4 linked regions of the Nothobranchius furzeri genome follow. The protein of the gene in region 1 purifies or fractionates together with the protein of each later gene. This does not show direct contact. Links are inferred from orthologs where the notes say so. Each region holds a gene or a part of one and is shown in the gene's direction. Other genes may lie near its edges. The genes, in order: fam98a, rtraf, atxn2l and nufip2.

Region 1 (5,310 bases):
ACACTCGCTTCAGTGGGAGGAATCTTCCCGCATGCACTCTGGTTCTCTGGGGTTAATCAAGTTTAATTGTTTCTCTTTGCAACAATCTTCACAGGAAGGCAAAACAGTTAAACGGCAGGTTACATATATTTCCATTTGACTGTTTATTTTGACAGATGAACTCAAGGATGTTGCTTGGTTTGAAAGAATTACCCCGACGCGCACTGATGCGCATGGATGAGCTGACATTTTAATCGTTAACGCACATCGCGGAGGTAAAATATTCCCATCAGAACATCAGAGCTTTATACTGGACACTGTGTTCAGCGTGGCTCCGAGCGCCCACGGTGGACAGTGAGCTGAAGATCTGGGGTTCGCAGCGCAGTGCAGCACCACGGCGCATGCGATAAGATTTCCTCCCACTGAAACAGTCTGGAAACCCGGTCTCTCTGAGGGATGTGTCACTTGGAAAAATGTTCTTTTTATGAAATTATGAAACTTTGGCTGAACAGCGCTTGTTCCCGTCTCTAATATGGAGACGCATGACGCGTAGAGACATTTGATCACGCACAAAGTTTATGTGGAGCAGAAGCGGTCGGGCCACGACAGGTGAAATGTTCCTAGCCTACATGAAGTGAAACTGTTTAATTGTAACATTAATATGTTACTGGACACGCTGGTCTGGTTGGTTAGACCAGTGTTTGAAGTGGAAACACACACACACACACACACACACACACACACACACACACACACACACACACACACACACACACACACACACACACACACACACACACACACACACACACAACAATTAAAATAATGCTGATAGCATGGACTAGAAGACAGGTGATGGGTTATGTATTTAAATGATGATCAGGCTGCTGTAAAATGTAATCTCCATCCACATCCAGACACAATTATCCTCTATTCTTTCTCTATTTGCTCTGCTCTTGTCTGGGCTGATGTAGCTGACGGTGCGCGCGTCGCGCCTAACTAGCGGCTGATGCACATTTTACGCATTTGGAGAGGTGGGCTGGACGCTTTGCTTTTACTGGAAGATGGTCCACTTAACGCACGGGTGTAGACTAAATATTAATGACAAATGAAAATTAAATTGTGAGTTTTTACTTCATATTTTATAAATAAAAAGGATGGGGGAACACATTTATGACGTCTTTTTAAACTAAATTTTCTACGCCTGCTTCACTTAAGTCACTGCTTATTAAGGTCCGTCCAAAATTACCATGGGAAACGGGTAATAATGGCTCTTTGATGGGAACAGGTTGCCGACCCCTGGTATAAGATCTGAGCTGGTAAAACAAAAATCCTCATCAGCAGGCATTTTTGAAAGTGGGGGGGACACAGCTGCCAATCACAAATTTTGCCGGGGACATGTCCCCGGCGTCCCCGGTTAAAATGACGCCTATGCTTGTATCTATACGTATACTTTAAAACTTTTCAATACATTTATTTTCTTTTTAACCTTTTTTATTTACCAGTACTGTGCAGATGAAAGAGGAAGTGGAACATCATTTCAGGCCTGAACCATCGACATATAAATATGGCCTGAACAAACGGATTTTGGTTTGACAGTACTGGCCCATGTTTACGCTCCCAACCGCTTGGTGGCGGTACTGGCGCTTCAGTGTGGCTCCCTGCTGCTAACAAACGTAGAAGAAGAACAAGAACAGGAAAAAAACCCAAACGTGTATCAGCTGAGTTGGATGTAAAATCTGTTTTTCACTCGTAGTTATTTGACGCAGATCGTTTAGATGGAGAATGACGTCCTCGTGTCTCTGGAGGATTTGGGGTGAGCAACAAAAACAACTTTTACCTCCGCCGTCAGTTTCCAGAGACCCGCGCCCACCCGTATATCCGGTTTTAGCTAGTCTGTCGGTCAGCGGGATCTTTCTTTAGCTAAAACGAGCTGCTCGTCCGTTTGCTATAACTGTGATTAATTGCCTCCGTCCCGGTGGAAACAGAGCTGAAAACCGGGTTTTACGTGGCATATGCAGCCAGCTGTGTCAGCACAAACCAAACCTGACGGCTGTCTGTCAGCTCGGGAGGATCCGGTTCTGGAAAACCGGGTCTGAGAGGAGCATTGAGTGTTAATGTGGATGCTAGCGAGCTGGAATGAGCCCGGAAGAGTCTGGTTCAACATCAAATCATCTCAGACATTTAGGCGCTGGTGTGTGTGTGTGTGTGTGTGTGTGTGTGTGTGTGTGTGTGTGTGTGTGTGTGTGTGTGTTGGGTTGGTGTGTAGGTACCAAGGCCCCCTGTTGGAGGACGGAGCTCTGGATTCTGCCGCCTCTGGAGGAGCAGCCTCTCCAGAGTTCACTAAGCTTTGTGCCTGGATCGTCTCAGAGCTGAGGCTCTACCTCAGACTGGAGGAGAACGTCCACGCCACCAACTGTAAGATGGCTTTTAATCCTGATGGATTGTGGATTCTCTCTTCCACACAGAGTCAAACTGATAAAAAACTGGCTTAACTACCTACAAACACCCCACCAATGTTTTGTTTAATTGGGTATTTTAAACCTCTTCATCATGTCAGCTCTCTGGTCTCACATTTCAGCTGTTATATTCTTGACAGTCTCAGTACCTTTCAGATAGAATCATTTCAGGGCTCTGTCACTTTAACCACGCCCACCCATCCTCTGATCGGGTGCTACAGGGCAAGGAGGTCATGTTGGATATCCTGGAGGGTCATCATTCTAATTGAAGACCCAACTGGGTCCATGTTTCAACCATTCAGGTGAAGTTGAAGAATCCGGGGGTGGTCCTCCCTCTCCTCTTTTGTGCACTAAAACCACAACATGATACCTCCGCCTCCATGCTTGACAGTTGGTACATCCATCTTCTCATTGTGGCAAAACAGCTCAATCTTCATCTAATTCGAACCTAGAACCTTTATCCGGAAGACATTTTTCTCGTCCATATGGACAGCAGCAGATTCCAGTCCAGCTCGAGGGCGGCCCTTCCGGAGCAGAAGCTTTTGCCTTGGTCTCCATATTGTGTGTAACTGGCTTCCCTGTGGACGGAGACTCTGGTGTTCCAGCATGTTCTAGTTCATGGTAGACTTCAGCCTTGATGTTCCTGAACATCAGAACCTCTTTCCTGTGATCTGAGTGGAGCAGATGGGAGTTGGTCATCATGATCACTGAAGGAAATCGGCCTTGACTTCATCGAGCTGAGACATTCTAGAATCGTCTGCTTCTTCTGGGTGGATGTATGTCAAGATTTTAGCTCATGGGTAACATTTGCCTGTTTGGAAGAGAGAAAAATGGGTTTAATAACTTTTCCGTCCTGGGAAATGAAGAGTGGATATTAATGGTTAATCTTACCCTGAGTCAGCTTCCTGTTTGAACTAAACTGTGGTGTTGACCTTCTACTTGCTGCAGGTCCAAGCGAGGCAGAGGGCTTCCAACTGGAGATGAGCGGTCTTTTGTCAGAGCTCGCCTGTCCTTACGCCGTCCTCACCAGTGGAGACATCACCCAGAGGTTCCTCAGGAGGATCGACTCTCTGCTGCTCCTCAGTATGAACCTTATAACATCTGGTCCGAATACAACAGACGTTTTTCTACCTTTACACCCGAGTTAAGGAGTTAAACTCACTCCATGTGTTGGTGCCACGCCCACCTGTGTCCACCCTCAGGTCATGTGACCTGCTGACATAACTATTATGGTGAACTGTTTCAGAAAATCTCAGTTAAAACTTGCTTTTAACATTTTCTGGTGTAAAATTAATCTTTTCTCTGTTACCACCGTGTTGGATGTCTTCTCTAGACAAGCTCAGCTTATCAATATTTCTTTATCTGACTGCACCATCTAGAGGTTGAAAACTGTATCACACCAGGAGCCTTCTCCACCTAATGTGTATTATGGCTGAAAGCAACGCCTCTCCTCCGGCAGCGCGCATCTCTACCCGGCCAACGGAGCTAAAACACGGTTTAGTCACTATTTTCACATTTTGCTCTCAAACATGTTTCAAAGACTTGTTGGTCAAGGAAGAACGTTGGCAGCTCTGCATCAGTGTAGGTACGTCTTTCAACGCTCGTGCTCTGTCTGTGATGGACATCTGTACGTAAGCGTATGTCTATCGCTGCTGGCTAATGCTGAACAGCACCTAGGTCATGATCTGCAGGATGGGGGACGGGCCTAGCAAAAATTAAAATGACATATTGTCTTCACAGAACGGGGTCAGACTTTCCCTTTTACGGAGTTCTAAACAATCATACATAATTCCTGAAAGGGGGAAACTCCGGATTGCAGCTTAATCTCCTAGTTTGAGTTGGAATGATGAACAAAGCCAGTCGTCTTTATAAGTGGTAAATGGTCTGTATTTGATACAGCGCCTTCTAGAGTCCTGGAACCCCCCAAGGTGCTTTACAACCCATTTCACACGCTGGTGGGGATGAGCTACGGTGTAGCCACAGCTGCCACGGGGCGCACTGACAGAGGCGCTACCGGTCCTTGCGACCACCACCAGCAGGCAAGTGGGTTAAGTGTCTTGCCCAAGGACACAACAACAGAGTGAGCGGGACTCGAACCTGCAGCCTTCTGATTACAGGGCGAGCTCTTAACTCCTGTGCTGCCGTCGCCCCAGAAGTTAAAGTGTTGATGTTTTATTCTTCGCTAGGTTCCTCCTCCTGGTCTTCTCTGATTTCTGCAGGTGTGGCGTTTCTCACAAGGAGCTGACTTACAGCATAATTCCTTCCTGTTTTTAAGGAATTGGTGCTTCCCAGCTAGCTCTGCGTTGCTCCTCGGCTACATTTTATTATCTGGAGCATTTATTGGTTTTTCTGCTGGCTGAAGGATTTTCCCTCGGCCAGAAACTGTGATGCTAAAGGGTGAACTGCAGCCATAAGTCTAAATGAAGCATTTATAATCAAACTCATTTCAAATATGAAGTTCTGACCCTTGAATGTTGTCTTTCTGCTCTTTCATTATTGGGGGATATTATTTTCTGCCTTTTTTATGTTTTCATTTTGTTTTTCAGATGTTTCTCTGACTTTTTAAACCTGCTTCTGGACTCCATCTGGGTGACTAAATGGGTTTTAATAGATGAAAGAGCGCTGGCCATAAAATAACACCAGAGGGTTTCCATGAATGCATGAGCACTAAACGTTGAGGTGTTTTTCTGCCTCAGCCTTTTTAGTGTCAGAGCTGGAGGCGGCGAGGATGATTCTGGTCAGCAAACCTCAGCAGAAGGCTCAGGACTCTGGTAGCCCCGTCTTCCAGGAGCTGAAGGGCATCTGCATGGCACTGGGCATGTCCAAACCTCCAGCTAACATCACCATGTTCCAGTTCTTCAGCGGAATTGAG
Region 2 (5,281 bases), on another chromosome or scaffold:
TTCAGCCTAATAAAAACATTTTTCCCACATGTGCATTAAAAGGTTGCAGAAAAGTTCACTAAATTTCTTAATCAGGAACCAGATGGCAATCTTAAAAAGCCATTTCTTTCTATCAGCTGTAGGTACTTATTACGGCCACCAGGGGGCAGCGAAGACTCACTTCGGAACTCACTTTGCCCTGATGAAAACTTTCAAAATAAGGTTTATGTAAAAAAAAAATCCAGTTGAATCATTGAAATAACACTGACATTTACATCAGTTATTCTAAATGTGTTCATATATTTAAATCACATGTAAAGAATGTGATATTTATTTGTACTTTTGCTTATGTTTAACTTAGTTTTCTTGTTTCCTTCAGACCTGCCCCCTCCTCCTGAGAGTATTTACTACCAACAGTGGCCGACACCACAGAATAGAGGAATTTTCTAGAGGGAACGTTCCTTCCAGCGAGTTGCAAATCTACACTTGGTAAGACTTACAAACCATTACGTTTCTGGTATATGCTACAGAACCTCTGAAACAAGTGTTTGTTTACATCACAGGATGGATGCTACTCTGAAGGAACTAACTGGTTTAGTGAAGGAAGTGTATCCAGAGGCCAGGAAAAAGGGGACCCACTTCAGCTTTGCCATAGTCTATCCAGAACCCAGAGGGAAAATGTACAAGTAAGTGTCGAGCAACACAGATCGGGGTCGTAAAATCATACTATTGTTCATGAATTCCTGTGGACTGAGTTTGTGCATCTCTTTTTACAATGTTCAGGTTAAAAGAGATCGGCAGTACCATGTCTGGCAGGAAGGGTTTGGAAGACTCCATGACGCTGCAGTCCCAGCGGTTCCAGATTGGAGACTATTTGGACATAGCCATCACACCGCCCAACAGAGCCCCGCCCCTCAACCAACGCATGAGGCCCTTCTGAACGCACATGAAGCGATACATCTGTTTTTGGGTTCTCTTGAGTAGTTTAGCCTCATTTTATAATTCTTCATGTTTAATAAAGCTGTTTTTTCCCTATAGACTGTTGTTGAGTAGTTAATATCAATAATGTGTGTTTGTGAAGAGTTAATTTGCAAAAACAGACCAGTTTTGATCAAACATACCAAACTCACTTGAATGATAATCCTTAATTTAAAAAGTTTTTTTTTTTTTTTTTTTTGCAAATTTGTATAGAGACTTCTCTGTTTCGTTATATAAACTATGTATTTAAGTTAAGGTGCCATCTCCACATTTGACCCATCGCCATAGGGATGGGTGAGCTGTAATTATGGCTGTGCTCAGGAACCAGTTGGTGGTTTAACCCCCAATCCAACCATTTTAAAGTTGAGTGTCAAGCAAGGAGGCATTGGGTCCCATTCTTAAAGTCTTTGGTGTGACACGACTGGGATTTGAACCCCGAATTCCAGACAGGGCGGACACACTACCACTAGACCACTGAGCTGGTATTAAGTCATTTTAAAGAAAAAGATAGACCACGGATAACGTTATTTCAAGCTCTTTGGTGTCTACAAGCTTAAAGTAATGGACGTATGCTTCAACAAACTCAAATGTGGGTATTTGAAAAAGAGACAATGGCAAAGGTCCCCTTTTTCCTGGCCTCTCCATACACTTCCTTTACTAAACCAGTTCGTTCCTTCAGAGTAGCATCCATCCTGTGACGTAATAAGACACTTGTTTCAGATGTGAATTCGTTGTTAGCTCTTATTTTGGAAAGCACAACCGGAAATACTCAACTCCGACAACGCATGCGCGCTGCCGCACACTGAGCTAGCAACGTAGTGGTCATTTAAGGTTTAATTATTTAGAAACAACGAAGGGTTTCACATTAAAACTTCGTGAAATGTTTCGCAGAAAACTAACAGCTCTAGATTATCACGATCCCAGCGGGTTCGACTGCTCAGGTAAGCAATAAACAGGCTGTTTAGGAGGTTCGGTGAGTTTTAATGGAACCAAGTTAGCACGAAGTCCTGAGGCGGCGAACTAAACGCTACAAATAGACTATTTTAAGGTTGTGCTCAGTTTTAGTAGCACACGTGTTTTATCAGCTTTAATATCTTCATAAATCAATCAAAAACACACCACATGTGTATTCGGCATTAATATTTGTAAGATAGCTTCATTTCTAGGGATGTATTTTGCTAGTCTAGCAGACTAAACGATGACCGTGTGTCTCATTGGGCTATATTTATCAGTTAAACAGCTGGACTCCTTTGCTTCACTAATTATCAGAGTGTATAACAGCAGATGGTGATTAAAAAAATTATGTGTTTTCATAAAACCAGTAAAATAGTGACGCATCCGCTTTTGTCAGATGAAACTCACTTCAGAAACTGCATCGTGTGGCTGGAGGACCAGAAGATCCGACACTACAAGATCGAAGACCGGGGCAACCTTAGGAACATCCCCAGCTCTGAGTGGCCCAAAGCCTATGAGAAGGTGAGACTATCTCAGAGCTTATCTCCTAACAAGAGTCCCAACTAGAGCTTACGTGTGTGTGTGTGTGTGTGTGTGCGCGTGTGCGTGCGTGTGTGTGTGTGTGTGTGTGTGTGTGTGTGTGTGTGTGTGTGTGTGTGTGTGTGTGTGTGTGTGTGTGTGTAGTACCTGCAGGACCTGACCTGTCCATTTGGAGTCCAGGAGCGTAAGGAGGCTTTGGACTGGTTACTGGGGCTGGCTGTGCGTTATGAATATGGAGACAACGGTATCTGATGTGATCGTTTATCTGTAAAAACCTCCTAAAATGATATTTATTCAGAAATCACAGCTTTGATGTGGCGTGTCAATGGTTGAAATACCGACCACGACCAATAGAGGGGGCCATAACAAAGGAAATAATGCCAACACGCATAGAAAGCTGAATTATAATTAGGTTATTATATGATGGCGTTTTTTCCTTATTCTGGGTGTTTTGTTTTGTAGTTGATAAGTATAAAAACTGCCCGCCGCTGGCCGCTTCGGGGAACGGCGACAGAGCCGTGGATCCTCTCATCAACCTGGACAGTAAGCAGGAACACATCTTTGCTGTTACTACCTTTTAACGTTTCATTCATCACCTAAAGGTCTAATAAAAAATAAATACATTTCAGGCAGTTCTCCAGATTTTAAAGCAGGAGTCACCGCTCTGGCGAACATTCTAAAGATCCAACGACACGACGATTACCTGGTCATGCTCAAGGTGAGCTGTATGCGTGTCTACATCATCCCTGAATGTGCTCAAGTTGTTTACTTTGTGACGTTTCCTAATGTTTTCACTCGGCAGGCTATCCGCATCCTGATCCAGGAGAGACTTTCACCAGAGGCCATCACAAAAGCCAACCAGAACAGAGAGGTACACGTTACACTGTAAAACAGCAACAAACTAGTCAATTAAACAGAAATGGTAGAATTAGCTAAAATGGTCAAGAAAATGACCTTATTAGTCTTGAAGATAACGTTAAACATTTTTCTGTGTTTCTGTGAACAGTTAGTATCTTACCAGCTGTAGGGAGTTCTTTGAATGGCCTCAGTTTGGAGAAAGAGTTTGCAATTTTTAAAACGCTCTAGTTAAAAATATATCAGTTATTAAATAATAATAATAATAATTTACTAGGGTTGTCAGAAAATATTGATATGGCAATATATCGTGATATTTTTTTCAGTGATATATCGATTTTCAAAAGTGGTGTATCGAAAATATCGATATCGCAATATATTGCGGTATAGTTTTCTGCGATATATCGATATTCAAAAGCAGTGTATCTAATTTTTGGAAGAATTTACATACAAACATTTGTGTATTTTCATTTCTTTTGGTGCAATTCAAACGCCGATCACTAGTTGGCAGCAGTGTGCCAGTGGGTTTTGTTTCCACCGTTGAAATGCAAATCCCTCCATTATGGTTCAGATACCTCATGTTAAACATGTTAGTATCGGTTTGGATTGTTTGTTGAATTTCACTATGATAAATTCAGTCTAAAAAAAGTCGTTAATATCGAATGTATCGCAATATATCGTGATGTATTGTATCGTCTTCCCTGTATCATGATGTGTATCGTATCGCCGTAATTTCACCAATACACACCCCTATTATTTACACACATGGTGCTTCTGGCTGGCTTTTCATAATATTTCTGCTTAAACAGTTGTCCTCAATTCTTTTCAGTGATGTCAAGGTACGTGTTGAATATGGCTTCTACTTACGTGGACTCTCAAGCCGCCCCGCCTCACTAATTGAGAACCACTGTGCTAGATTAACTACAAAACATGACATTTATGACAGTATTAATTGTAAAAAAGTATTTGCATGATTTAGAGATTGTAGTTATTTTAAGACATTTTATAATTAGCCTCATTTTGACTAGCTGCTAGCTTGTCACAATTAGCTAATCTCCATTTCTCTAAACTGAGGGTTTTCAAAGGCCTTTCCACAACAACTAGACGACATTTAACCAGAAACACTCTTCAGAAGTCCTGAGCTGTTCTATGATTTTTTTTGAGTGTACACACTATAAAAATGTCACGTGAAGTCTTTATTTATTTATTTTCTTAGCCCATGTTGTTTCATTTAAATCGATGATCAGTAAATCTGAAAGAAAACATTTTGTTCTGGATCACCTTCAGCTTGTGATTCTGATCTTTAAGCTTCATACTTTCTCTTTTGTCCCCAGGGAGTCCCGGTGGCTTTAGACAAACACGTTTTGGGTTTTGACACTGGAGGTGAGTTTTTGTGTTTGGCTACCACAACACCCATCGGTGTAGAAGAGAAAAACTGACCTCCGTGGTTCTCCGACCTCAGATGCGACCCTGAACGAGGCGGCCCAGATCCTGCGCCTGCTGCACATCGAGGAGCTACGAGAGCTGCAGACAAAGATCAACGAGGCCATCGTCGCCGTTCAGGCCATCATAGCCGACCCAAAGACGGACCACAGGCTGGGCAAGGTCGGCAGATGAGGAGGAAGCAAAGGACTGATGGAGATTTTATTTTTATTTAATTTTGAGAACAAAGGCCCTTCTTGTTTGCTGGGATGGTTAAAGGGACATAAATGATTCTGTTGTTGCATCAGTTTTAAACATCCAGGGTCAGATGTTCATTTACCGCTTGTTGTTCAGCAGGAAGCGGTGAGGTGGATACTGTTGAGCTGGTGTTTTTCTCCACAGCGGGAATAAAACGATTATTTTGAGTCGGTAAATATTAATTTTGCTTATTTACTTTGTGCCAGACTTAATCGACTTCCTGATTCTGGGGTTTCTGTGATTGGTTTTATTCTGGATGGAAAAAAGAATTTGGTTCAGGAGTTTGACTTTGACT
Region 3 (4,694 bases), on another chromosome or scaffold:
ATGACGCATATTGCGTCTGGACGCAGTCCATACGTCCTGACGCTACCCCAACGTCCGCATTTACATCGGGTTATGCAAGTTAAAGGTAACTCTTTCTATTTATGCTAGTAAACGGGTTATTCTGATCAACTCACAAACCCAAATACCGACCTTAACCCGACCATAACCCGGATATTGGCTGCATGTAAACGTAGTCACTGGTAGATGTTTTTGTCCATGCCCTGACTACTCACAGCTGTTCTGTTAGGGGGAGGGGAGGATCTACCTGATTACCCCCCCCCCCCCCCCCCTTATACAACACTTTGAAGTCAGGATGGTGTGAAACAGCTAAACCAGAATGGGGGGGCTGATGGACAATGACTCATCTTTGAGCTGCTAACACCAGGTAGTCACAGCTAATTTGGTGAGTATGTGTGAAGTGGAGGGAGGCGACTTCTGACCAACAAAGCTCCTGCCACTGTTGCATCTGCAGCCCTGGCTCTGACACGTCTCTGGTATGCAGGGGTGTGCAAAAGGAAACGGTGTTGGCTTCGTTTGCGGAGCGGAGGATTTGTAACGTGCTGTATTCAGATTCAGGAGGGGAAGCTAGGCTTCATTTTGGGTTTCTGTGCACCAGCTGGTTTTCATGGTTGGACCGCAGGTCGGCTTGTTTGATGACCTCTGTTTCTCTCTTAGAGAGGTAAAGTACATCCCACTACCCCAGCGTCAGAGAGAGATGAACCGGGAGCGAGGTCCTGGTGGACCTTCTCCACACAATCGTCTCAGTGGATGCCACCGCTCCACTCCTGCGCCCTCGTCATCATCGTCCCCAAGACCCCCCCTACCCTCTGGTGCTGGCCCCCAGCCTGGGGTCTCCCCCTCAGAGAGAAACAGCCCTCTGTCAAGTCGAGGTGGGTCATACGTTCCCCATCACTCACAAGGGAGCCCGAGCCCTGGCTCTGGTCCTGCAAGCCCGTACACCCCTGCCTCTCCTGGACAAGCGTCCACGCCAGCTTCTGCTTCTACCGCCACATCCCCATCCAGTCCCCCCGCCCCCCATGGACACGCAGTTCCTCATTCCCACTCACTGTCGCTGTCTGACACCGGCAGACCCGTTAATGGAGGTGAGTCGTGTGTCTGACGGTTGAGCTGCTGGTTCTCCTTCATGTAGCTCATACAGATGATCTGCCTTGCAGTCTCTACTAGAACGTCCCCCAAAACCCAAAGACCTCCACAGTCCAGCAGGACGAACCGCGCTTCAAACTCACACTCTCAGCCCACAGGTAACCTCCATGCAGTCTTTATTATCATTTGAGCGCTGAATTCAGCCCCGGATCTTAATCTGAGTATTTGTTACCATCTGTTGTTGCAGCCACTCGTTCCCCTAAGTCAGGCTCCTCCCAGGACACGTCTTACTTGGACGCTTCGCTTGTCCCCCTACCTGCCCAGAAGACATCTGGCCCTGCCCCAACCTTCCCTGTGGATGGTAATGTCTCCCACTGGGCTTTTACTTTAGTGTTTATTTAAGGCTGGGATCTATGAAGTCCTATAAATATTAGATTTTTATTGTTTTCTTATTGCAGTGAATGAAATCCTTGGTGCAGCTGCAAAAGAGCGCTGTGCAGAGAGCCCGAGCAGCACGGAGGACGGCAAAAACAGCAAAGGTGTGTGTTTTAGAACAAACCCAAAAATAAACAAAAACAACAACATTAGCAGCTGCAGGCCAGGAGTGAATTATTGTGGTTTATTTTCAGCTTCTTGTTTTGTCTTCTCTCCATCAGCACCGTCGATCCAGCAGCGGTCTCAGATAGAAGAGCTGCGAAAATTTGGCAAAGAATTCAGGGTAAGTCTTTCTTATTTAGTTAGACGTTAATAGATAAATTCCTGATCAGAAGAGAGACCAACGTGTTTCGTGTGAAGTCGGAGAAAGAGAGTCTGGAACTTTAGCTTTGGATCCGTAGCTTCTGTTCCTGCAGGGCTGCTGCTGCTATGATGTTTATTTGTAGTATTTTAATGCTGTAGACCTCATCCTGCTGGGGACGTCTCACTCAGAAACTCGGGCTGTGTTGAAAAAATAGATTCTCATAAATATTCATGAGTATCGATTCGTATGTCCAAAGATGGGTTTAACCCTTTAAGCGCCAAAGTTGCAAAATAGCATCAAATGTCATTGCTGACATTTAACAAGCAACAGCTGCAACTATGGTCCCTCATGAAGTTCCTGCTTTATACCAGAAGGTAGTGGAGATGTCCGTCTTCAGCCTGAGCAACACTTATGGGTGTGTTTGTACTGAAAGTGTTGGAAGAGTTTTTAGAGCTTGAAAACTGTCGCCCACCAAGAGGCTCGGGGAGGAGGAGGGGGCGAAGGCGGTGGGTGCAGCTTCAGCTTTTGGATGATTCTTAATGTGTTATTTGTAATGATGCCCTGTGTTTGTGTTCATTGATGCAGTCATTGACTCTTGTTGCGCCCTCTGTTGGCTGTCCTGGATCTGTTTGCTAATCCTGCTATTGGGCCATGCAGCCGTTTTAACTTGCCAGTATTTCATTTATTTGTTGTTGAATGTTAATAGTGTTAATATACTACACAACTACATAGTCATGTAATTAAGGTAACGGCAAAAGGGAAGAGTTCGTTGGCCCAAATCGACATATCGGATCCAATCGCAATAACTGATTCTAAATCTTGAGAAACGGATCAGTTGTTGAAATCAGCTCTATCAGAAACCCGTCGAGGGCTCTAACCCTAACGAGAAAGCCAACACTCTTCATAAATAACACAAATAATGTCATGAAAACTCTGATTGCCTTCCAGCTGCAGCCGAGTGGAGGCAGCTCCAGTTCTCCCACTTCTCCTGCAGCAGCAACACCTCCCTCTGTCGGTGACATCACCCAGCTGGCCACAGCCAAGCCTCCATCGTCAGACCCTGCTTCAGAGGCTAAGTCTCAGCCTGCAGCTCCCAGTCCGTCTCAGCCTCAGCTGCAGCATTCGCCGGCTCCTGCGGACGAACCCAAGGACGCAACAACCACGCTGGGTTCTGCATCCGCCGCTGCCACGGCACTCGTTTCAGACAGGCAGTCGCCTGCAACCCCTCAGCCAGCCAGGACCCCAGGAAGTGAGGATGTACGGTCTGAGACGACGGAGCGGACGGAGGGTCTGCCAGAGTGAGTTTTAAACAGGATTGTTGGTTCTAATGATTCAGACTTTTGATTCTTCTCTGCATGTTTTTACTGACGTGAGTGTTGTTGTCTCGTAGCCAAGTGAAGAAATCAACTTTAAATCCAAACGCTAAAGAGTTCAACCCCATTAAACCTCAGATGCCCATGGTGAGTCACTTCCTCAGATCTGCTCAAATAAAACACGTGTGATGCCCTTACCTTCAGTCCCTGTAGCTGATGTGATCAGTCCGTTTCCATCTCGCAGACTAAACCCAACACAGCACCCACCCCACCCCGCCCTACCCCCCCGAGCCCGGTGGTCCTGCAGCACCCCGGAGGCCAGGCGCCGCTCTACAACGCCCCCTACCTCCAGTACGTCTCTCAGATCCACACTGTACAGGTAAGTTAGCTAAAGATGGTTCCTGCTACCAATGTGGGATGAAAGCAAGTGGTTTACAATTAATTCCATCTTTTCTCACCCCCAGCCCCCACCAATGTACCAGTACACCATGCCCACCGTCACCCAAGGAAAATACGCCAGGGCCAAAGGTCATTCTTTTCTCCATTTACAAAGTTTGTGTTTTTTCTCTTGAATTACTTATCTTCCTGTATCTGTGACCTTTGTCTTGTGGCCTCTGTACGTGACCTGCTCTTGCCTTTATTTCATCACAGGAAACACTTTTCTGATCATTCTGTCCTCTCACCAGGATCCGTCGTGGCGACGCGCTCTGATCATGGTGCCACAGCACCACAGATGCTTCAGGCCGCTGCATCAGCAGCCGGAGCTCCTCTGGTGGCGTCGCCCTACCCTCCATCTTATCTCCAGTACAACCCACAGCAGTACAGCCAGCAGCAGGTCATTCAGGCCATGACGCCCTACCCTGGACAGGTAGAGACTCTGGATGTAAACCGTTACCAGAAACTCCCAAATGCATCATCTGGGTTTCTCTTAGCTAATGAGGTTTTTATCTCTCCTCCACCGTAGCCCATGTACTCCATGCTCCAGGGTGGAGCAAGGATGCTAGGTCAAGGTGGTGGTCATCCACAAGCCCTGGGACCACCTGGAGGCCCTCAGTTCCCTGCACAGGGAGATGGGCCCCAGGGACCACAGCAGGGCATTTATGGTGAGCAGTGGTGGATTAGAAAATAACAGTCCTAGCATGGAGTCATCTTTAACCCTGTCCTCTTGTTTCTGCGTTACCTGCAGCCCCTCAGTCATTCTCTCATCATTCGGGTGCCGTTCATCAGCCGCAGCCTTCTAGCACCCCAACAGGAAACCAACCCCCACCCCAGCACGCTGCACCCAGCCCCGGACAGGTACCCCCACTCCCCACCCCCAAAGTGTTTAGGCTGCAGACTTGCATTCTTTACAGCAAAGGGTGATGCAGTTGGACACTCTGTGTGTCTGGTTTCATCTAATTTCATTTGGATGTTTTTGTTTGTGGTTTATTTCTACAGTGATTTTATCAAATTAAGCAAAAGTTTAGAAAAACAAACCTTTTAGACTTATCCGGTGTGTTATGGCGCTTACACATCAGCGTCGGTTCCCCTCTGGGACT
Region 4 (5,471 bases), on another chromosome or scaffold:
GTTCTGAGAGGTTCTGCTGAGGAACCAACGTCTCCTTAAGGCTATGGTGCCTGTCTGCTGCAACAGGTCCACTATCACGGTCCAAAAAGAATCAGTTGCACAACCATCTAGAGTAGGAGTCTGCAACATTTACAATCCAAAAAGCCGTTTTTCTCCTCAAACTTTGTTTAGAGCTAAAAAGGAGTTTAGAGCGTTAGTGGTGGTCAGAGGGGCCGACGGCGCCAAATGGCAGCCTCGCCTCTGTCAGACCTCCCCAGGGCGGCTGTGGCTACAAGTAGCTTACCATCACTAGCAGTGTGTGAATGTGAGAGTGTGTGAAAGCGTCTTTGGGGGTTTTGAAAAGCGCTATATAAGTTCAATGCATTATTATTATTATTATTATTATTATTATTATTATTATAACAGGAAGTGTGGGTGGAGTAAGACTGGTAGTAAGGTGACTGACTTCAAACTTGCATTTTTATTTTATCCACACATTATTTCTTTATCATTTCTTAGAGGCTGACTGCTTAGTAGTGCATTACATAATATGGTTAAAGCTGTAATACTTTGAATAATAGTTTATTAAAGCTTAATAATGCACTACGTAACTTAATAAATGGATCCTTATTGTAACGTTTTACCAAATTTACATTTCATTACAACCTAACTGCTGAAAATAAATAAAGGATACAAAAAAAAATCTAATTCCTTTTTTTGTGTGAAACTTAAAGTGCTAAACAAATTACTTCCCTAAAATTTGTTGATACATCTAAAACTAAGAAATGGATTAAAATAAATACGAATGCTTTAGTACTTTTAATGTTTTAATTTTCAGTCAGAATAAGCTGTTAGTCAGAAATATTAACATGCTTTTTAGGTGCTTTACACTAAATCCACACTTCCATGAATTCCTTTCTAATCTAAAATTTCACTAAAACTTTTTCTCTGAGTTAATAAAAATATCACAGCAGAAAATGCATCTTAAACCCCTCGATATCTGCCAGAACACCGTTTTTATTTTAAAGATACTGCATGTCTGTGCCCTGGAGAGAACCCTTTCACTAAAACCTGTCGTTTAAAAAATAAAACCTGCCTTTAAATGAAGCAGTCATATGAATATTTTATGTCAAAGTAGCAGTCACGTGCACATTTTAAAGGTGAAGTAGGGCTGCACATATCAGCAAAAAGTGTCAGGCTAAAACAGGCGTGGTCTATTTTACTATAGATACTTAACTTTCACAGTTTTCAGACATCAGTTGAGACATGTTGAAAAAAGAAAGAAATGGTAGAGCTAAATTATATACGTGTGGGTTTTATTCTGAGTCCAGAGACAATGGTGAAGTTAGGTGATTCATTTGTCCTTGTGTTTCCTTTCCTGCTCTAAAGCGAGATTAGAAAATTATATGTTTAGCCGCTAGAGGGAGTCACTGGCGCGACTATTTAATTATTACAACTACCACAAGACAACAAAAATATAATAATAATAATAATAATAATAATAATAATAATAATTATTATTATTATTATTATTATTTCATAATTACCGTTGAATAAATCAAAGCAATACATAAATAATATTGATATGCTGTCTATCAAATAATCAGTGTTTTTATTCCTTAAATGTGGCTCTGTGTGATTCCAGCCAGGTAAAGCATGTAAAAATAAAAATGTGCATGATTTTACAAACACGTCAATTTTTCTTATAATAAGCTGATCATATATGCATTAGGCAGCAGCAAGAAAATTTTGTATAACGCAAATAAATTAACTGCTTTTCCATTTTTGGAGGGGGCTGGTCTCTTGTGACCCTAATGTGTCAACTAGCTGGAGACGTGGCAGCGCCTCGGGTCATATGATTTAGGCTCTTCCACGAACCCCACCCCGTTATTTCACACTCCATATATATATATATATATATATATATATATATATATATATATATATATATATATATATATATATATATATATAATTTGAAATCACTCCCGTGTTATCCTAAACTTCTACGTGTGCGCACATTTTAAAGTCTTATGAAATACTCTTTAAGCACCTAGGAGTTGATTCTAAAGGTGGGTTTCAGAGGAGTGACCACCCAAAACAGGGCCATTTTTAGACATTTTACTGCTGACGTTTACAGAGGCTTCAAATAGCTTCCGTTTGACTCTGGTAGTGATTGGACTGAGAGCTAATAACACACAGGCGGAACGCGTCCGACATTCTTCACTTCAATGGAGGAACAGCCCAAAGATCGGGCACAAGACAGGCACTACCACCACCACGGGGAGGACAGGAACTCTACTCAACGCACAGCTTGTCTGAAAAATGATCAGAGCCACTTCCAGTGCCAGCATCAGGAAACGCAGACGAAGAAAACAGGTCGGGCCGCCCTGAAAAGTCGGCTAATGTCAATGAGCCGACTAGCATTCGCTAGCTAACGTAACTGGGAGCCAGCTAGCTCCTAGCTGCTGCCCCGAATAGTTTTGAGGACGGGCGGAGCAGCTGGTTAATCAGACAGATAGTCAGCCAGTGTCACACGAGAAACCACACATTATACTCGCTATCTGCTGACGTTGCGTGAGCGTTGTCGCTGCTGGTGGTTTGACAGATCGCAGATTGACCTTGTGCGCCGGTGCCGTGCCGAAAAAAAGAACCCTTTATTAATTTTTCTAATATAAATGTAGATACTTGTGTCCTCAGCGGTCCAGAAAAACACGAGGAGGTATGTCATTTGTAACTTTTACTCGGTGTATTGGTAAAAGAACATACCTTGGGATTAGCTTTCTGCGCTAAGAGTGCTAGTGATGGCAGGGGCGCTTTTTTTCGGCACAACACCGGTTTCACCGCCTAATTTTAAATGGCTTATGTAGCTGAATATGTTCTAAAACACCGCTTATGTCCCTCTGTATTCTAAACAAAACAACTCTTCTGTAACAGTGGCCTAAATTGTACTGATGTTATTCCAGTTAGCTCTGTGCAGTGTAGGAAACCGAGCCGGCTCCGCTGGAATGTTCTGTGCAGCCATTTCCGGTCGGCCATGTCAGAATATCACAGTTAGCTAACGCAACACTAACCGGCTAGTTAGGAAAATATGGACAACAACGACACGGTGGACGTTTTTTTACGCGTCATTGTCGACCGGTACTGTGGTGTTATCGTTGTCCGCTACTAGCTAGGCGATATTAGCAGACATTAGCCATTTGACAGGCCCTTTTGAATGTTGTCTGGAGAAGCCACGCAGCTGATCAGGCTCTGTCAGCATTAAGCGAACGTAAGCTGACAGTCGCTGTAAAATGTACATTTGCTAAATGAAACTAATTGTTTTGGCTGTGACAGGAATGTGAGGTGTGTTGTGCCAATAAATGTTACTGGGGTGGAGAAGCACTGTGGAGTAGGAAGTCCCACGTTGACACAGCACTTCCCACGAATCTGAGCCTTCAGAGGCCTAGTCATGATGCTTCACTGTAAATCTGTGCTTCCTGTATCCATCCACCTTTCCTATGCGGTGTGCCATTAATACATTGTGATAATTGTAGCATAATAAGTGTTTGGCTAATCTTAAAACATCACTTTCCAAGAAACTGCAAACCATAAACGTATAGTTGTTAGATTTTGTGGTGTCTGTAGAGTCCTATCATTTCCACATCGTCTTATTTTCTTTCCTTTTTTTTTTAGGCAATAAAAAATTAAACGTTGGCGACGAGGAAGGAGAGAGGAATCTACGTCTGTCTGATCCTGTTGGTATGTCGCTTCCTTCCCACGGCAATGGTAACAAACATGCGCACAACGCCAGTCTAAAGCAAAAAGGGGCGCAGAAGCTCTACACGCCTGCTCCAAAAGCGAGCAGCAAATTTCTGGACCGTAAGAAGAATATGGACTTTAAAAATGACAAGGAAAAGACTCTGGATTTGACTCACGATGACCTCCAGAGCTTGGATAAGAAAGACTCTGTTTTGCTTCACAACGGTGTCGTAAATTGTGGCTTCATTACAAATGGCTATTCTAGCAGGGACAATGATGGCAGCGGATCCGAAGGCGGGTACACCACTCCGAAGAAACGCAAGACCAGGTGTAACAATGCCAAGAACACTGATAATGTGACAAAAGAAAAAGAGAGAGACATGCAGCCCCGCAACACTACACAGGAGCTGGGGGCTTTGAATCCTGAGGCGACTGAGAAAGGCAGATCTACCCAGTCTGCTGCCAAACGAGCTGTCGTTCCCGAGACTACAGTGGGGGAATCTCAAAGGAAAAACTCCGATGGCAAAACAGCTGGCACCTTTGGTAAGAAAACAGAGGAACGGCACAAAGGCAAACTCTCCTCTCCTTCAAAGGAGGACCCGTGGACTTTGTTCAAGCCCCCTCCCGTATTTCCTGTGGACAATAGCAGTGCTAAAATCGTTCCTAAGATCAGTTATGCAAGTAAAGTAAAAGAGAACCTCAATAAAGTAGCTCAAAGTGGAGAAGTGGTTCCTCCTCCCATGAGACTGTCTCAAGTCCCGATGTCTGCTATGAAAACTATCACCTCAGCTAGCTTTACTAATGGTCCTGTTTCTGGAAATGGAAACGGCTGCCCGTCTGCTGGCACCTTCTTCGTTCCTGCTGCTAGTTGTATTCAATCAGCCCTGTCTGTCCCAAGTGGCGAGAATGTAGCATCTTCTCTGGAAAGTAACTGTAGCTCAACAAGTCCTGTAGATGGAGACGCTAACGAGCTTAAAAAGTGTACTCTGTTAATCTACCCTTTAAATATGCAACCTGTGCTCCCTAGTGCTCGTCACCTCGACCCACCGGCTGCTAAGACAAATCAGAAAGCCCTGGGAGACATCTTCCAGAATCAGTGGGGGCTCTCTTTCATCAACGAGCCCAACCTGGGGCTGGAGGGAGGAAACGGGCATCCTCCTGCTGAGGACCAGACTTCTGGGACTTCTCCAAGTGAGAGTCAGACTGTTGAAGACAAGGTGGTCCTGCCGTGTTTTGATGTTAGCCCAATATTTGTAGAGCCTGGAACTTTGTTCAAAGACTCTGAGAGAAGGACTTGTGCCCCTTGCCAAGCGTCAAACGCTCGTTCTCCTGCTTTTGAGGAGGAGACAAAGTTCCCGCCATTTGGCCAGGACAAAACGAAGTTTGAGATCAAAGGTTCTTCTGTCTCGGCTCTTTGTAAAGACAATGGTGCTAAGCCTGTTCAGGGCCAGCAGACCACTGTGCTGTTTGGCTCTTCTAAAGAAGTGGTCCACCCGAACGACGCTAGCAGGAGGTGTAGCTGGGGGCCCTCTGACATTAAAGCTGCTGTCGCCTATCACACTAAAGGTAACGGTGTCCGCTTCTATCTGTAAAACATATTGGTGACAATATGGCGTCCTGTGAATGGGTAATAACTGGTGTGTGTGCCAACTAAACTAACCCCAGTTTGCTGTTATTTTCCAAGCTTTCCTCGTGTGACAGCCGAGTGTGTTGGTTAGATTTCCTAGAAGTTGGTTTACAGCCCGAGTGAC

The links.
Region 2: the proteins of fam98a (region 1) and rtraf purify together in Homo sapiens (affinity purification with mass spectrometry; 4 studies listed by BioGRID and IntAct, with this or other methods). This does not show direct contact. The link is inferred for Nothobranchius furzeri from reciprocal best matches to the Homo sapiens genes FAM98A and RTRAF.
Region 3: the proteins of fam98a (region 1) and atxn2l purify together in Homo sapiens (co-immunoprecipitation; 3 studies listed by BioGRID and IntAct, with this or other methods). This does not show direct contact. The link is inferred for Nothobranchius furzeri from reciprocal best matches to the Homo sapiens genes FAM98A and ATXN2L.
Region 4: the proteins of fam98a (region 1) and nufip2 purify together in Homo sapiens (co-immunoprecipitation; 3 studies listed by BioGRID and IntAct, with this or other methods). This does not show direct contact. The link is inferred for Nothobranchius furzeri from reciprocal best matches to the Homo sapiens genes FAM98A and NUFIP2.

Annotation. Positions count from the first base shown.
Region 1 is NW_027223037.1:4,131,420-4,136,729, forward strand, and holds the start of fam98a (protein FAM98A), read left to right. Parts: upstream 1-1,638; 5' UTR 1,639-1,757; coding exon 1,758-1,795; intron 1,796-2,248; coding exon 2,249-2,397; intron 2,398-3,386; coding exon 3,387-3,521; intron 3,522-5,134; coding exon 5,135-5,310. UniProt on the Homo sapiens protein: Positively stimulates PRMT1-induced protein arginine methylation. Involved in skeletal homeostasis. Positively regulates lysosome peripheral distribution and ruffled border formation in osteoclasts.
Region 2 is NC_091754.1:55,850,454-55,855,734, forward strand, and holds rtraf (RNA transcription, translation and transport factor protein), read left to right. Parts: upstream 1-1,715; 5' UTR 1,716-1,837; coding exon 1,838-1,898; intron 1,899-2,308; coding exon 2,309-2,433; intron 2,434-2,595; coding exon 2,596-2,695; intron 2,696-2,913; coding exon 2,914-2,994; intron 2,995-3,080; coding exon 3,081-3,169; intron 3,170-3,253; coding exon 3,254-3,322; intron 3,323-4,640; coding exon 4,641-4,689; intron 4,690-4,768; coding exon 4,769-4,923; 3' UTR 4,924-5,162; downstream 5,163-5,281. Other genes in the region: histone deacetylase complex subunit SAP18, read left to right, coding at 359-468, 543-665, 763-919. UniProt on the Homo sapiens protein: RNA-binding protein involved in modulation of mRNA transcription by Polymerase II. Component of the tRNA-splicing ligase complex and is required for tRNA ligation.
Region 3 is NC_091756.1:34,765,722-34,770,415, reverse strand, and holds part of atxn2l (ataxin-2-like protein), read left to right. Parts: intron 1-675; coding exon 676-1,103; intron 1,104-1,175; coding exon 1,176-1,262; intron 1,263-1,351; coding exon 1,352-1,465; intron 1,466-1,562; coding exon 1,563-1,643; intron 1,644-1,760; coding exon 1,761-1,822; intron 1,823-2,791; coding exon 2,792-3,141; intron 3,142-3,233; coding exon 3,234-3,303; intron 3,304-3,400; coding exon 3,401-3,535; intron 3,536-3,620; coding exon 3,621-3,684; intron 3,685-3,842; coding exon 3,843-4,024; intron 4,025-4,120; coding exon 4,121-4,259; intron 4,260-4,342; coding exon 4,343-4,452; intron 4,453-4,694. UniProt on the Homo sapiens protein: Involved in the regulation of stress granule and P-body formation.
Region 4 is NC_091750.1:49,401,593-49,407,063, forward strand, and holds the start of nufip2 (FMR1-interacting protein NUFIP2), read left to right. Parts: upstream 1-2,114; 5' UTR 2,115-2,210; coding exon 2,211-2,358; intron 2,359-2,565; exon of another isoform or gene 2,566-2,701; intron 2,702-3,114; exon of another isoform or gene 3,115-3,250; intron 3,251-3,654; coding exon 3,655-5,286; intron 5,287-5,471. UniProt on the Homo sapiens protein: Binds RNA.